4 linked regions of the Canis lupus familiaris genome follow. The protein of the gene in region 4 purifies or fractionates together with the protein of the main gene of each other region. This does not show direct contact. Links are inferred from orthologs where the notes say so. Each region holds a gene or a part of one and is shown on either strand. Other genes may lie near its edges. The genes, in order: CAPZA2, CAPZA1, CNOT8 and CNOT1.

Region 1 (3,378 bases), on a different chromosome or scaffold from region 4:
CAATTTTTAACACATCACCCTAACCACCACTCATTGCTTTCTAGTACGCTAACTCTAACCTATGTAATCTACTGATTGTGCCACACTTTCTCTGCTCCTCTCCTGGCCTCATTTCTCTCCCTTACCTAAGCTTACGTTCTTAGAGGTTATCGTTGCAACCTTGCCCCGTTCCCATGGTGAGTCAGCCTCTCTTGGCAAAACCACAACCTTGGTTCAACTCCTCTACTCTGTGCCTGCACCGTGCAGCTTTAACGTGCTTAACAGAGCGGACTCCCTTGGTGTCACGTTACATCATCACTAACCTTGAGTTGGACTTCATTTTGCCTGGCTACCAAACCCTGTGACCCAGGTCCATTCATTCCACTGTTTCTTCAGCCCAGAGGACCACTCTACCTCCTGTTTTCAGTATCTAACTGCTACATGGTATTTCCCCTTGAAATCGAAAACTGAGCTCCTGACCAACCCTTCTGCTGACCCTGAATTTCCCCCAATTTCTCAACCCCAAAATGTCTCTGGCATTCTTCATCTCATATTCTGCAACCAAACTTTCAGCAAATCTTTTTTATTTTACCTTTAACACATATCCAGAACTCACCACCTCTATAGACTATAGCTACCACCTCAGACCAGGTCAGCATTTGCTCTCAACTAGATTACTGCAGTAGCCTCCTAACTGTTCCCCTAATTTTACCCTTGCCTCTGTACTTCACCCTTAAATCATCACCTTAAAGACAAATGCATGTATTTTCAAGATCACATTCTAGGGCCATAAAACATCCAAAGTAACTGACCTGTAGGGGATAAAACCCACGATAGTCCAAATGATATGACTGAACAAGCCAATTAAAGATTTACCTAGTGTTCAGTTCAGAATCATGACTTTGGAAAATGCCTATTTAAAAAGGGAAGAGAAAATTAACATTGCTAATTCATTTTCTTCAGAAATCCCAATATGGCAAAACTAAGAGAAAACAATTTAACCAAACTCAAATTTCATATTAAGTTCTCAGTGTTTTCAAAGCCCAAGCCTGATTTTTAAAAAGAAATTAAATGACATGCTTTGAGAAAAGTTTTAAATTCTATACAATTCAAGCTAATGAAATATTTTATTGTACATAATAAAAGTGGTGTTTTTAAAAAAACACTTCCAGGCCCAGACATCTCCAAGAGTATGTGAGGAAGAGATTCCACTGGAGTATAGTAAGCAATACTCGATTGAATGAAACCATAAATCCACCCCACTCTCTATAGTAAATATTAACATTCACCACAGGTTTGAAATTCCTGTAGCATCAGTAAATGTATATTTTAAAATATTACAAACACGCTTATGATGCATAAGATGGAAAAATTTAGACTGTAATGCACACCATATGTACTCCCAGCTTCTCTAATTTACAACCAGTTAAGAATCACAATATCCAAAGAAAGTATTTTAAAATAGTATATGACTCACTGATAAGGGATATTCTACTCAAATAAATAGGAAAATTTCCATTTTAATGTCACATTGAATTTCAGTACTTTTCAATCCAAGAAAAGAAATAAACTGAGACATGGTCATGAGTTCAGGATTATATATATTACAATTTGCCTTGTTATAATACATTTGTGGCTTTATGATAAAAATAACTCAGGGACATATGGAGTTCAAGCTAATTTGCGTAACTGTCACAAGAAAAAAAGCATTAAATGCATTTCTGAAATAAGTATTTCCATTTAATTTCAGAATCTCAAAACAGCATTAGACCTTGGCCTCATTTAAAAAAAGTTTAGTTAAACACTAAGCTAGCTAAATAACCTTCTTCAAAGTTCAAACACAATTGATATAGAAAATGCTTTCCCTCTAATCTCAATCTTACATAAATGGAAGAGGTGAGGGGAAAAGGTAGACAATTTCTTTAGCAGCATATATGGCTAAATCCATCAACCACCTTAAACTAGAATGTCCATTATTAACCCCATTAAAAAGAACTGGGCAAATATCAAAAGTTGCCCACTTCGTAAACCAAAAGACAACAACTTTAGGGTTACGATAAGTAAAATATTTTTGAAACACTTCAAAAACTTTTAACATTAAACTAGAGGAATCATCTCTTAATTATAAGAAAGAAAGGTATAACAGAAAGTAAAAGACATTTAAACTAATTGTCCTCTTTGAACAAAAGAAATGAAAAATAACGGTTGATTAGCTAAGCTTTGTGCTCTAACCAAACTAATTAATTACAGTGATTTTAAATGGCAACAGCCCATCTGACTGGGTAGCTTGACAGTTCTGAATACTTTTTGCAATGATTTTTTTTTTAAACGCAAAAACATTAAAATGATCCGGTCATGCAATGTTCATCTTATGCATTCTGCATCTCTTTGCCAATCTTGTAGCTAAGGATCTTGTTCCAATCAATCTTCGTGCGTGTAACTGGCAACTGTCGACGTAAGGCTTTGAAAGTAGTGTCCGACATTGTCTGATAATTCTCACTGATGGCGGTCTATGAAAAATAGTAGTTAAAAGTTTAAGAAATAAAAGGAACAGATCAATTTATACAACACATAGATGTTTTAGAAAAACCTTTATTTAACCAGCTTATTTCACTGTTTTTAAAAAGTAAAAAAAAAAAAAAAAAAAAAAAAAAAGTCAAAAACCCCAATGTGGTTTTGGAAACTGTTTAAAAAGCAGCTAAAAGGGATGCCTGAGTAGCTCAGAGGTGGAGTATCTGCCATCCACTCAGGGCTTGATCCCGGAGTCCCGGGATCAAGTTCCACATTGGGCTCCCCACGGGGAGCCTCCTTCTCCCTCTGCCTGTGTCTCTCATGAATAAGTTAAAAAAAATCTTAAAAAAAACAAAACAAAACAAAAAAAAAACCAAGCAGCTAAGAGAGGGGCGCCTGGGTGGCTCAGTCAGTTAAGTGTCCAACTCCTATTCTTGGCTCAGGTTTGGATTTCATGGTCATGAGTTCAAGAATCATGTGCTATACTGACTTAGCCAGCCAGAACCTCCTAAAAGAAAAAAGCCTATAATTGTTTTGGATAATTTAATGAAATGAAATTGTAAATTGGATTTAATATTTGTGTGTTCTCATTTTGGATCTATTTTACTATTTCACTCAAAACAATTTTATATATTATTGTTTCCAAGAAGCAGAAATGTGGCGAATCCACAAATTAAATGTGTAAGTTCAAGAGTACGGTTTAAAAGCTGATAAAAAAAATGTAAAAAATAAGAGTATAAAGTGAAATAAGATCTGACCAGATTACACATAATCTAAATACTTTGGGAAATACTTCATAAATTAAAATTTCCAATCAAAAACAAAATAACCATTTAAAATCTTGGCATATTATGACCAATACTCAGATATTACTGTTGGCTAAAACTG
Region 2 (4,904 bases), on a different chromosome or scaffold from region 4:
TGTCTAAGCTTAAAGCATACAGACTCATTTCTCAGTTATGGTATTTTTGAGGTGGTTCACAAATATTCTACTAGTTAAGCTGAAGGGAAAAATATGCTAATTGCACTTTTTTTTCCGGCCTTAAATTCTTTCTGCAATTGTTTTAAAAATGCTGAATCATGAAATAAAGGAAACAGACAGTGCAAGGACCCCAAGCAAGTAGTTTGTCTCATACTTCAAGTTTCCTAATTACAGTATCTTGTCATTTTGGTCTTGTTAAGCATTTGGAACCAAGTAACTGAAGACTCTAAGTGAATAGAAGAATACACTCATTGTTATTCTCAGAAACTAAACTCAAGAATAAAACTAAAAGCATTTATTTTGCAAGTTATTTTATACTTTCAGCTTCCTGTTTTATTTAGGCAGCTCATCATGACCATTTCAGGTAACAATGTAGAAGTTAAAAAACCCAACTTCCTCTTTGTAAAGTGATAAAAACCCCAAGCAGTTACTTAAGAGAATGGTTGATCTTACCAGCTTTTATAGAAATAATTGCAAGGAAATCAAAGACTATCGACACCAAATTTAACTCTGGGTTCACTGTTTTTAGGAGATGCAACAAAGATAAAAAGCAATATTAAAATATATTCAGCATCATGACATAAATGCCTTAAAAACTCGAAATCTAATGCAATTAAGATCTTAAAAAGGATAAAATGGAAACTTCAGAGTTCCTTCAAGGAGGAATCAATACAAATTATGTCTGAAAATATCCCTGATTTTAACATTTTTTGGGGGGGGATCTCTGGGTGGCTCAGCGGTTTAGCACCTGCCTTCGGCCCAGGGCGGTGATCCTGGAGACCGAGGATGGAGTCCCACATCAGGCTCCCTGCATGGAGCCTGCTTCTCCCTCTGCCTGTGTCTCTGCCTCTCTCTCTCTCTCTCTCTCTCTCTGTGTATCTCTCTCATGAATAAATAAATAAAATCTTAAAAAATAAGCAAAATTTTTCTGTAATTGTACTTTCATTGTGAAAAGTTTATAGGAAAAGAATCTTTTTTTTTTTAAAGATTTTTAAAAATATTTTTTAACACGTTTGCTGTATCATTATTAAAATTAAGCAACAAAAGTATGCTAAGAGATTACAAATCTGGTCACAAATCTGCTGTTATAAAATCAAGACTATTAATGTTGTTGAACATTGTCATGTCTAAAGACATCTCAATTTGCACTTGAAATACATTTTCTCAAGTTTAATTAAAAAGGCATTCTAATTTTGTCATCTAGTTTTGTCAATGACAAAAACCCAACAATATTGGTAAATGTAGTATTTAGTGAAATTTTAACAATATTTTCCCTTAAAACAAGTGAACCATCAGTTCAGCTAACAAATGTAGGGTTATTGTGATTTTTACTATAATTTAATTTCACCGGCATCATAACTATTTGCCTTAGACTAGACATTTTATTGCAGATTCTGTTCGGCATAAATTCATATATGACACCCTTTTCTCCCCTAAGTTTTACACACAAAAATTTTCAAGAACGAGAAAATTTAACGCCAAAGTATTATTCAATGGCTTGTGTTTAGCACATTCTTCAGGGTTTCAAAATGACATGGCATACATAGGTATGACATATCAAACTACTCTGTACAGAATACTCTTGGGTCATTAACATTCCCTTGTGTCATCTCTTCTCTTGTATTAAAAAAGAAAGAGCCCAGATGCATTTATAGAGCACACAAGACTGCACCTTTTGTAACAGCCACTGTGGGAAATAAATAAAAGACATAACTCTTGTCCTATAGCGAGTCATCTAGTGAAATCATTCTAATTTCTGCAGGCCCTAAAATCAAGTATTTACTGAAAAGCCTGACAAAGCATTAAGAAAGCTGTACAGTTGTCAGCAAAAAGTCATTCCACCTAACGCAGAGCATGCGCTTGTACTTAAAACATTTTTAAAGAAGTAAATACGCAAATTACACACTTACAAATTTAACTATAATCAATGACACCACAGTGGAGCATCAAAGACGATGCTTTTGTCCAGACCGAATCTGTTAACCATGAAGTTTATGTGCTATATAAAACCTTTATGGAGTTTAAAAAAAAAAAAAAAATCCGCTGGCTATTCTTGACTTGTGAACAAGAAAAACTATTTTTCAAAAATTACCCTTAATAGTATGTAAGACGCAAGGGATGGAGAGTCATGGCTTGTTGTGTACATACGTGCAATCAATCAAGGGAGGGTCTATAGGTAAGAGTGGTGTTCAAATCCTGAGGTAAATATCCTAAGGCTTGCACATTTATTACTGAGAATTAGTTCAGCCAATAATGAGAAAAGTGGACGGGCGGGCAACACACGGGGACCTCTCCCTGTCGAGGAGTCGTGACAGCAAGATCACTTCCTGAGGAAGGAGGAGCAAAAGGGAAGTTAAGAGGCCACCCTGACCAGGAAGTGACTCGCCCTAAACTAGCCTCAATCATATCTAAAAATGGGGGGCTGGGGCGAGCCCCGACAGTTAAAGGCGGTAAAATACCTGCTTCCTGATCCGAGACATCACCATCCACCCCGCTCTTAATCACAGAAAAAGAGTCCACAGCCACGACTCAATAAAGGAAAGTCTTTCCTCTTCCGGGAAGGTCACTGGGTTGTCACTCGGGCCCAGAGGGAGAGAAAAGAGTTGAGGAATGGGGAACTGGGGCCACTGTGAGGCAGAGGAATGCCCCTAGAGACGGAAGTGTCCCAGCTGCAGCGGGTATGCCGCCAGCACAGCCCAGCAAGGTTCTTCCACCTGGGGACACTGCCAGGGTTTCCACCGCAGCCAGGTCAGGCCCCTGTTCCCTGTCGCGGGAGGACGCAAAAGAGAGAGGCGGACCCCTTACCTTCTCCTCATCCGACACCCGATCCTCGAAGTCGGCCATCTTGGGCTGCTCTGGCCCAGCCCGGCCCCGGCGCGAGGCAGGCCGGGAAGGAAGCTGAGTGATGGAATCACCGCGGGGGCCGTCGGAAGGACCCGCCCGGAAATGCCGGCCCAGAGGGCGCCATGTCAGTTACTGGCGGGGGTGCGGGTTCCGAGCGCCGGCCCTCGGGGAGTCCGTAGCTCGGCCTCAAGGCTGGTCCTTAAAGGATTTTAAGTCTAACAGCTTTCTCATTGAGTTGCATTCATGTCCCCATTCATCCAGGAGGCGCTGGGAGCGTGTTTCGACTACTGACGCCCGAGCTCCTTCCGACAAAATAGCGATGGCTACTATAGGTTTTCCCAGTACCCGTGATCTCCGTGGCAGCCGAGTCCAAAGGGTTACGTGCTGCTCGGGCCCTGAACCGGCCGGTGGCTATTCCAACCCCATAAACAGGGTTAAAGGTGACCCTCAGCCGTATGGAAGCAAAAACGTTTCAGCAGTCCGAGGTCACATCTCAGTCCAGTTCCTCCAGAATCGGCGCCGCTAGCCTCCCCTTCCCGCCCTCCGAAGGAAAGGTAGACTGGGACGCTCCTCCACCTTCCAAATGGCTTTGGTCCGCGTTCCTCGGACCTGAGCTTTCACAGAGGCCACCTTCAGGTCCGCCACTATCCCAGGATTCCCGACTCCCGGTTTCCTGCCCTTCTCCCCTCCCAGCTCCCGGAGCGTGCGGGAGCGGCAAGATGGCGGACGGCGGCGGCTTGGGTGAGGCAGCGAGCGCTGCGGCCGCTCCTCCCGCACCTACTCCCGGCCCGAGCCCGTCGCTGGGCTGGAGGGAGCGACTGCGGGCCGGGCTGGCGGGGACTGGGCCCTCGCTGTGGTTCGTGGCGGGGCTCGGACTGCTTTACGCTCTGAGGGTTCCGCTGAGGCTGTGTGAGAACTTGGCTGCGGGTGAGAGGCCCAGACCTCCCTGGGGACGGGGGCGGGGGGGGGAGGGGAGGGGGGAGGGGGGCTAGGAGAGTGGCTGGGGGCAAAGGGCAAAGGGCGGAGATTGTCCGCAGTCCCCGCAGGCCTTCGGAGAAGGAGTCGGCGGTGCGGGGTCCAGGGCGCTCTTCTCCTGGGCCGCAGGTCCGCAGCTGATTGTCAAACCTGAGCCTCGGCTATGGGCTCCTCCCTTGAGCTCTTAAGATCCGCCCTCCCGGTTCTGTCCTCGTCGACCCGCGCGCGGAAGAGCCACCTGACAAGCTGTAGGATTCAGGTAGCGCAACAGATGAGAGCGTTTTCCTATCGGCTGCAGAATTATATACACCCCCAGCACTGGTAGAATCCCTTGAAAATCATTCTTCTGAGTCTCTCGCCGATGAAGAGTTCCCACACCTAGACAACAAAGATGAGGGCTTATGTATTCAAAGGCCAAAAAGGAAAGAAAAAAAAAAAAATGCCGTGAACTTAGCCAGCCATTGTCTCATCTTGAGATAGTTCTGTCAAGAAATGGTTTTCGTGGTATTTTGGCCTGTTCTTTGCTGTAGGCTTTATCCGGAGTAATAAAACGGCACAGGAAGTGAAGGGAAAGAGAGCCACCAACAGTGATGGGTTCTCCTTTCAACGTTTATAGAGAGCTTGCTTTGTAGTCTGAGCTGAACATACGAGGACGTGTAAGAAGTGATGCTGATTCCCTGGATTCTGCAAATACTGCCCCTTACCTGTAGCCAGGGCAAAGCGGATGGGAGCCCAGGGCCTCTTACCATGTCTTGATAATATTTCCACTCAAGCTCCGAACAAGATGAAAGTACTTGTGCTGTGTGATGGCTGTGACTGTCCCTACCTGTGGTTTAGTTTTCTGTCGCAAGAAAAGGCACATGTTCCCTTACCTATTTGACAGGATGACATGAAATACTGTAAAATAATGTTCTGAAATATTTTGGACTTTTTAGAACATAGGTTATGTATATCAGCTCAGATATAAGTAACATATCAAAACAAACTAAATATATTGGCTGAAAGAGCTGATTTGGTGTCTCTGT
Region 3 (4,222 bases), on a different chromosome or scaffold from region 4:
TGCTTTGATCCCCCACCCCATCCTCCATCTTTCCACTTGGAATGTACCCACTGATAACCAAATGACAGAGCCTACCACTGTGTGAAACAAACAAGAATGAGCTCCAAAGTATTTTTTGAAAAACAAACATGGGCAAGTTACCATTTGAACTTCATAACTGTTTCATAATTGACCAAAAGAAGAGAGCCAAAAGGACTGCAGAAATAACAGAAGAATGTAATTCCCTGCTCCCAAAGCAAGAGAAATACACATTTTCTGGGACTAACCTATGAAATGAAAGCCATTTGACGTTGTCACAGAGAACCACCCCTGATGTCATAAGCAGCTCTGCAAAGTGCAATGTGTCAATTCCTTCCTCTTCATGCTTCTGAAATTGCAGTCCTGAGTTAGCAAGGAGATCTATGGAATCCTGGGAGTACATGTCCTCTCTAAAAAAGAAGGTATTCACTTCTTAGCTGATGGATAATCTAAGAGTAGTGGGTAGCAATATTAACATCACCTTATTAATGAACAAGTATTATTGAAATGAAGGGACCAATTCATTTTTTCCAGTATTCAGCAAGCACTCAAAATAAATAATCTTATCTCTGTGGCAGATGGAAAAGTGAGACTTGCCCTCACAAAATAAGTTTCTTAATCATAAAAGATGAACATTTCCTCCACTGCTTACAAAAAAACAGAATCAACCAATACAAAAATATGTAAAATAGTGACTCCTGGGTGGCTCAGTGGTTCGGACCAGGGCGTGATCCTGGATCAAGTCCCACATCAGGCTTCCTGCATGGAGCCTGCTTCTCCCTCTGCCTATGTCTGCACCCTCCCCCCTCTCTGTCTCTCATGAGTAAATAAATATAGAAAATCTTTAAAAAATATATGTAAAATACTAGAAAAATTTTTTAAATGTTCTTAGTAATATAGTTACATCATAGAAATAACTGTTAACTCAGTTTATAGATCCTTGAAGACTGTTTTCTCTACCTATACATACACACCTTCATCCCTACATCTACACAGCACAGCACAGCCCATCTTTCCAGACCAATGCTCATAGACAGACAACATCCTTTGCAACTCTGGCATAATATTCTACTGCAAAGATACATCCATCAATTTAAACAGAAGAATATTTATAATACTATATATCACAAAAGGAGAGAAATAAATTATGTAACTCCTTTTCCACTAGATTTCACTGTTTTTTTTTTCCCCTTCATTTGTTTTTCACATAAACTTAGGAAAGATAAGTAGGAAAAAAAGAAAACAAACACAATCTTAAGTGTTTTCTTACTAAATTAAAACCAGTGTTGAATCACATTGTTTTGTTTCACCTAAAACAAGCACTATCTTAAGCACATACATAACTCTACAATAAAAACAATCTTTATTTTCTTTTGTGTATTAATTACCATCAAGGTATAAATAACAGGTTTTGGCAATGGAGTAAAAAAAAAAATGCTGTTAAAGGAAAGATCCAGATCATCTCCCCAAATTATTTCTGAACCTCAAAGAAATTTCCAATGTACATGAACAATCAAATTGTGGCCCAATAAGAAATACACTAAAACTACCTCATACAAAATTCAAAATGACAGTCTACCCTAAATTTTCCCCTTAAAAAATTACATCATTCTGGGATGCCTGGGAGGCTGTCAGGTAAGCCTCCAACTCTTCATTTTGGCTCAGGTCATGATGTGAGTGAGCCCCACATCAGGCTCTGCACTGGACAAATAGACTGCTTAAGATTCCCTCTTTCCCTCTCCCTCTGCCCCTCCCTAACCCTCCCCTGTGTGCACATGTATGTGTGCATGCATGCTCTCTCTCTTAAATAAAAAAACAATTACATCATCCTCAAAAAAATTAAAAACAGAACTACCAAATGATCCAGCAATCTCACTTCTGGATATATATCCAGAAGAATTAAAAGCATGGTTGTGAAGATGTTTGCACATCCATGTTAGTAGCAACACTACTCCCAACAGTCAAGAGATGGAAACAACTTACATGTCCATCAATGGATGAAGAGATAAACAAAATGTGCTCTAAATATACAATGAAATATTTATTATTCAGTCCTAAAAAGGAAGGGAATCCTGCAACATGCTACAACATGGATGAACTTTAAGGATATCATGTTAAGTGAAATACGCCAGCCACAAAGCAACAAATACTGTATGATTCCATTTATAAGAGGTATCTAAAACAGTCAAATTCACAGAAATAGAAAGTAGTATTATGGTGGTTCACTAAGATCTGGGGAAGAAGCAAAAGAAGAGTTGTTTAATGGGTACAGAGTGTCAGATTTGCAAGATGAGAAAGTTCTGGAGGTCTGCTTTACAACAATGCAAACATTTTTCTTTTAAGACTTTATTTATTTATTCATGAAAGATGGGGGGGGGGGTTGGAGGGGAGGCAGAGAGAACAGGTTTCCCGTGAATCAGGGAGCCCGACGTGGCACTCAATCCCAGGACCCCAGGATCACAACCCCAGCCAAAGGCTCAGTTTTAAATACTGAGCCACCTCAGCACTCTATATTTAACACAACTGAACTGCATGGGGATCCCTGGGTGGCTCAGCGGTTTAGCGCCTGCCTTGGGCCCAGGGTGTGATCCTGGAGACCCGGGATTCAGTCCCACATCGGGCTCCCTGCACGAAGCCTGCTTCTCCATCTGCCTGTGTCTCTACCTCTCTCTGTGTCTCTCTCATGAATAAATAAATGAAATCTTAAAAAAAAAAAAAAAAAAAAAAAAACGCACAACTGAACTGCAGACTTAAAAATGGTTGAGATGGTAAATTTTACATGTTTTCTACACCATTTTAAACATCAAAATTCGCCCACTATCAAATAGGCTTCAGTTTCAACTACTTTTAATTAACATCTACTCCTTATTTCCTTATTTCTTCTATGATGAAATACTGTTTTTTAGATAAGGAAACTGAATTACAGAAGGTAAAATTACCTACTCCAAATCACCTAGATGAAAAAGGGCAGAACTGCAATTCATCTCCTAAGTGGACAAAAACTTTACTTTTTCATTTTAAACAGCCTTTCTAAACTATAATTCACACACTAAACATTTACTCATTTAAAGTATACACTTCAGGAGCACCTTGGGGGCTGTCAGTTAAGTGACCAACTCTTGATTTCCACTTGGTTCATGATCTCAGGGTCATGAGATGCATCTGGCTGTCTACCTTCCGCATGGAATCTGCGTCTCTCCCTTCCCTCTTCCTCTGCCCCTCCACCTTCCACCCCCCCCCACCACCACACACACACTCTCTCAAATAATTTTTTGAATTCTTAAAAATATACAATTCAATCACTTTTAGTATTTTCAGAGTTGTGCAACCACCACCACAGCCAATTACAAACCATTTTATCACTTCAAAAAGAAAACCTATATCCATAATGCAATCACTCCCCACTATACCCCATAATCTCAACAGCGCCCTGAACAACAACTAAGCTATTCTGACTCTATAAACTTGCCTATTTTGAACATTTCATATAAACAGAATCCTACAGTACATGGTCTTCTGTGTCTGGCTTCTTTCCCTTAGCATGTTTTCAAAGCACATCAATGTACAACATATATTAGTGCTCCTTTCCTTTTTACTGTCCAATAACATTCCAATAATATTGCATGGATATACCATATTTATTTTATCCAATCACCAGTTCACAGACATTTGGATTGTTTCCCCTTTGGGGCCTTTACAAATAATGCTGTTACAAACATTCACATACAAGTTTTTATATGGATATTATGTTTTCATTTCTCTAGGGCATATGCCTAGAAGTGGAATTGCTGGGTCATATGGTAACTCTACGTTTAACCTTTTGAGAAACTGCCTGTTTTCCAAAGAGGCTATACCATTTTACTTTTCCAATAGCAATGTATGAGGGTTCTAATTTCTCCACCCTTGCCAACATTTGTTCTTGTATCTTTTTTATTATAGCCACCTAGTTGGTATAAAGTAGCATCTCACTGTAGTTTTGATTTGCATTTCCCTCATGACTAATAATGGTGACCATCTTTCCCTAAGTTTATTAGCCATATCTGTATCTTCTTCGGAGAAATGTCTTTAGCTCTGATGCCCATTTTCAACTGGGTTTTTTTTTTTTTACTATTGACCTGTAAGAGTTCTTTAAGAGGGACTTTACTATCTGAGATCCTTATTTCATTCTCTATTTTATTACTGTGTCCAACCCTTACCTGGTTTT
Region 4 (4,222 bases):
AGCTGAAGTAGTGAGTGTGGCTATTTGGGTACCGCAGTTGATTTGCAATGGCATTCAGGAAGAGATACCGACCTAGAAATTCAGAAAACTTAGTTTATTGCAAACCTACTGTGAAAAGCCAATGTAAAAAAGATAAATCATTCTAAGTGGCTAGGGTTTGATTTTCTGATACAGGCTTTCGTAGTATCCTTTCAACCAGTGGTACTTGGGATCCCCAATGCTCCCATTTCTGGGGGGTTTATTTTGTATTTTCCGCATTAATTTTTTTTAATATTTAAAAACAGGTCCACTGCATATAAATATTTTCCAAAACAATGTAGGTAAGAATATTACTGTTTTACATTTCACAGGTTTCTTTAATGTCACTTAATAGGAGACAGCTAGATTCTTATTTCTGCCTCTGTGTTCAATCTGTTCCAGTATTGTTTCATGTAGCTCTGGAAAACTCCACTGTATACTCATGACAACATGAGTGCAAACAAAACAATAAAACACAAATGTTGTCATTATTTTGAAAATAGTTTTGACCTTACAACTCTTCTAAAAGGTCGGGACACCCTCAAGGGTGTCCAGACCACATTTTAACAACTGCTAATTTAGACTATAATGGAGTAAGTATTAACTGGGTTTGGCTGTCTGCCTCTGCTTGGTATTAGTCATGTGTGATATGGCTATATCCAGGTGAGCTTTAACACTAAGGGCTACCTTTTTAAAAATTTTTTGCTGGGCTCTGGATAATCAGGTATTCAATTTTGTTAAATCTTGATTTTAAGCTATCTCAAATCCTTTCTACAAATAGACAAGCAAGTGTATGTATATCTCAAGATTAACCTCTCAAGAACTGATAGCAAAGTAGGCATCCATTCTAAACTATGCGTGTTTTAAGGGCACCTGCATAGCTCAGTGGGTTAAAGTGTTCAACTCGATCTCAGAGTCGAGTTCAAACACCACAACACCACATTGGGCTCAAGCCATATGTGTTCAAATAAGCAAGACTACGTAGTTGGTTAGTACCTACTGGAGTCTCTGTAATAAGAATGAATCTAGAAGCTCAAAAGAAATGTGATTACACCATGCAAGATGCAACTTATGGGAAAAACTATACTGCCAACTTTCTGCAAAGCAGGTAGGGAAAGTCTCATGCATTAATTTGTATATACCTAATACTTAATACATTGCCTAACAGACACTAATAAATGGGGGGAAAGGCAGACTAACAAAACAATGTAAAATGAGCTTATTTTTAAAGAGAGCCTAGTAAAAAGAATGTTGTTTATTTTCACACTTAAATAACACTGTAATCATACACATTGAAGTATTAAGTGATGTGGTAAGGATTCTGGATTATTTCTTTCCTTTACATTTTCTGAATTTTCTGCATTAAGCAGATACTATGCAATTGAAATAGCCAGCAGAGAAAAAACAAATAACATGATTTCACATGTATATGGAATTTAAGCAACAAAACAAGCAAAAAAAAAAAAAAAAGAAAAAAAAGACTTTTAATTATAGGAACAATCTGATAGTTATTAGAGGAGAGGGGGACGGGGAGATTGATTAAATAGATGATAGAAATTAAGGAATGCACTTAGGATGAGCACCAGGTGATGTATGGAATTGTATTACTATTATACACTGAAACTGCTATAACACTGTATGTTAACTGGATTAAAATAAGAAATTTTTTTAATAGAGCCATAAACCTGTTGACAAAATATTTGTCTGTTGTGGCTAAAGCATTTTATGACCAGACTGTAGCAAAAAGTGCAAAGAACTTAACTCTGAGAATTGTCTGGCTTCACTCACCTTCAGTGTCCAAGTCCACAGCCAGGTTCTGGAAGATGTCCATGTGAGCCGAGTGGGTGATCGTGCTCATTGATGGCGTGCTACCCTTGTTGTGGATGTGCGCAATGGCCTGAGTCCCTACATAGAGCACCAGTGCATTGATGAGCTGGAGGTTGTAACGATTGCCAGGCTCATTGGATACCTAAATGAACAAAACAGAAAGCTCCTTATTCACAGAGGATTCAGTATTTCTAAATCGTTTTTATGCCTTCACAGAAAAGGTGAACTGCTCTCAACAGTTTTTTTTTTTTTTTTTCCAACAGTTTTTGATTTAAATTTTAGAAATCTGCTGGACTTTGTGAGGTTGCTGAACAAAATACACAGCAGCCTAAGGGTGGTTGGGTCAATAACAGAAACAGGAGTTCCTTTTAGAAGCCAAAGCTTCAACAGGTACCAGCAAAAAAAAAAGTTTGTAAAGTCAGACTGCATTATCTTAATTACAGAAAGTATTTGGAGGGGTGCCTGGCTGGCTGTGGGTGGAGTGTGTGACTCTTGATCACGAGGTTGAGTCTGAGCCCCGTATTAGGTGTGGAGATTACTCCATGAAATCTTCTATTTGGAGGGGGTAAGTAGTGTGGTGTGGAAAGACTGGAAGGTAGTAACACAATTTCAAGTCCTCTTCTGTATAGCAAACTAAACTAGAATCCATTTAGAACAATCTTGAGCGTACTAACAGGTGCCAATTATCAGCAGTACAATTCTTACAGAAAATAAACCTATTTCCTGGTTGTCTCTTCCAAGGCAATAGCTTTGTGTTGGTGATAAGACAACTAGTAAAATGCATAATCTAGTTAATCTCATCCAACCATTAGAAACAGTATGTTTTAAAAATTTTAAATCCAGTTGAAAACACTGACTTCCAAATAATATTATACATAGTGTTGTGGGTAGCCTGAGTGTTTTTCTAAAAAGGCAAACAAATTAACCTGTAGGTTGCTTCGCAAATCAGACAGAAAAGTGACCGGTGATCGAGTTTTAAGATAAGAATCCAAATCCTTTTTGAACTGAGGTGGCATCACTCCAGTAAAATTGGTAAGAATCCGGGGTGCAATGTTAATTTCACTCAACATATCCACCTGCCAGACAGATAAAACAATCAAAACCAGAAGCATGTGTAGGAGTTAACAGCAAATTTTCTCTGCCTTAAAAAAATAAACTGCACATTGTAAATGTCTTGATAAAAGCTGCCACTTTTTATTAATTTTTAATTAAAAGAATCTAGCTACAAAATGATAAAAATCTCTCATTCTATAATAAATTATCTTTTCAAATTAAGGCAGGATAGGTACCTTTTGTGAAGAGGTCTAATGTATATTACTAATTGTTTCCTGGACTTGGATTTCAAAGAGTACAGAGGAAATTCCTCACACCAAGATCCCTAGTCTTTGAAAAGATGCCCCAGCAGAACAGAACATCATACTTGTTACTTTAAAAAGAAAATAATGTATTTGAAATAGACAAAATACATAAAAATTACAGTAGCCAAATCAGGGCTATAGACATAAAAAACACCTATGGAAAAAAAAAACACTTATGAAATATGAGCATTACAAAGGTCTATCCTGCAAATCTATGCCATCAGGGCCAGCCAGCAAATAATACCTCAGTTGAGGTTCTATAAAAATTAATTGAAAATAGCAAGTAGGCAAATACTGTGAACCAATATTCAGCAAGCTTAATATTAATAACATGATCACCCCCGCAAAGACCATCCTTACCTAACAAATTTGTGCGTGTGTGTGTGTGCAAGGAAAGGGGTTAAATAAGTCTACTACCAGAGAAAGGACTAAAATACTAAGACAAAACTTTCTTTTCCTTAAATTGTTTGGAATTTACCTTCAGATTAGGAGTGAATGGGTCCGGGAGCCTCATGTTTCTTGGGAAGGCACTCAGAATGAGATTTCTTAGCTGAATACAATTAGGTGGGATCACATCACAAAATCCATAATGGTAATCACAAAGGAACTCAGGGAAATCATGCAAAAGAACCAGCAGCACCCTCAAAGTGCCCTATTTTTTAAAAATGAGAAAAACATTGGCTGTTTCCACATTGTTAAGAAATGAGAGTAACATTTATACTATTATGAACATAACAAGTAAATACAAAAGTATATACCTCAGTAACAAATTACAGGCTTAAATCACCAATAACTAGCTCTGAGGAGTTTATACATTAAATGTATATGCTCAAAGAGGCTGGCAAAAAGTAATTAAAATGACATAAGTCTGCAGAAGATGGAAAAAGCAGCTAATGAAAACCAAGAAAGTAAAAGAGCCAAAATCAATTACATGTTTTAAAAGTACTGAAGGAAAGATGAATCAAAGCTCGTTCTTTGAAAAGATTAAAATCCAGGCCTCGATAGCTTTACTGGTAAAA

The links.
Region 1: the proteins of CNOT1 (region 4) and CAPZA2 purify together in Homo sapiens (affinity purification with mass spectrometry; 3 studies listed by BioGRID and IntAct, counting the BioPlex papers as one, with this or other methods). This does not show direct contact. The link is inferred for Canis lupus familiaris from reciprocal best matches to the Homo sapiens genes CNOT1 and CAPZA2.
Region 2: the proteins of CNOT1 (region 4) and CAPZA1 purify together in Homo sapiens (affinity purification with mass spectrometry; 3 studies listed by BioGRID and IntAct, with this or other methods). This does not show direct contact. The link is inferred for Canis lupus familiaris from reciprocal best matches to the Homo sapiens genes CNOT1 and CAPZA1.
Region 3: the proteins of CNOT1 (region 4) and CNOT8 purify together in Homo sapiens (co-immunoprecipitation; 5 studies listed by BioGRID and IntAct, with this or other methods). This does not show direct contact. The link is inferred for Canis lupus familiaris from reciprocal best matches to the Homo sapiens genes CNOT1 and CNOT8.

What each region holds. Positions count from the first base shown.
Region 1 is NC_049235.1:55,951,643-55,955,020, reverse strand, and holds the end of CAPZA2 (F-actin-capping protein subunit alpha-2), read right to left. Parts: intron 2,490-3,378; coding exon 2,349-2,489; 3' UTR 988-2,348; downstream 1-987. UniProt on the Homo sapiens protein: F-actin-capping proteins bind in a Ca(2+)-independent manner to the fast growing ends of actin filaments (barbed end) thereby blocking the exchange of subunits at these ends.
Region 2 is NC_049238.1:63,670,848-63,675,751, forward strand, and holds the start of CAPZA1 (F-actin-capping protein subunit alpha-1), read right to left. Parts: upstream 3,360-4,904; 5' UTR 2,905-3,359; coding exon 2,866-2,904; intron 1-2,865. Other genes in the region: ST7L (suppressor of tumorigenicity 7 protein-like), read left to right, coding at 3,360-3,831. UniProt on the Homo sapiens protein: F-actin-capping proteins bind in a Ca(2+)-independent manner to the fast growing ends of actin filaments (barbed end) thereby blocking the exchange of subunits at these ends.
Region 3 is NC_049225.1:55,808,494-55,812,715, forward strand, and holds part of CNOT8 (CCR4-NOT transcription complex subunit 8), read right to left. Parts: intron 429-4,222; coding exon 267-428; intron 1-266. UniProt on the Homo sapiens protein: Has 3'-5' poly(A) exoribonuclease activity for synthetic poly(A) RNA substrate. Its function seems to be partially redundant with that of CNOT7.
Region 4 is NC_049223.1:57,401,966-57,406,187, reverse strand, and holds part of CNOT1 (CCR4-NOT transcription complex subunit 1), read right to left. Parts: intron 3,856-4,222; coding exon 3,682-3,855; intron 2,922-3,681; coding exon 2,772-2,921; intron 1,988-2,771; coding exon 1,807-1,987; intron 73-1,806; coding exon 1-72.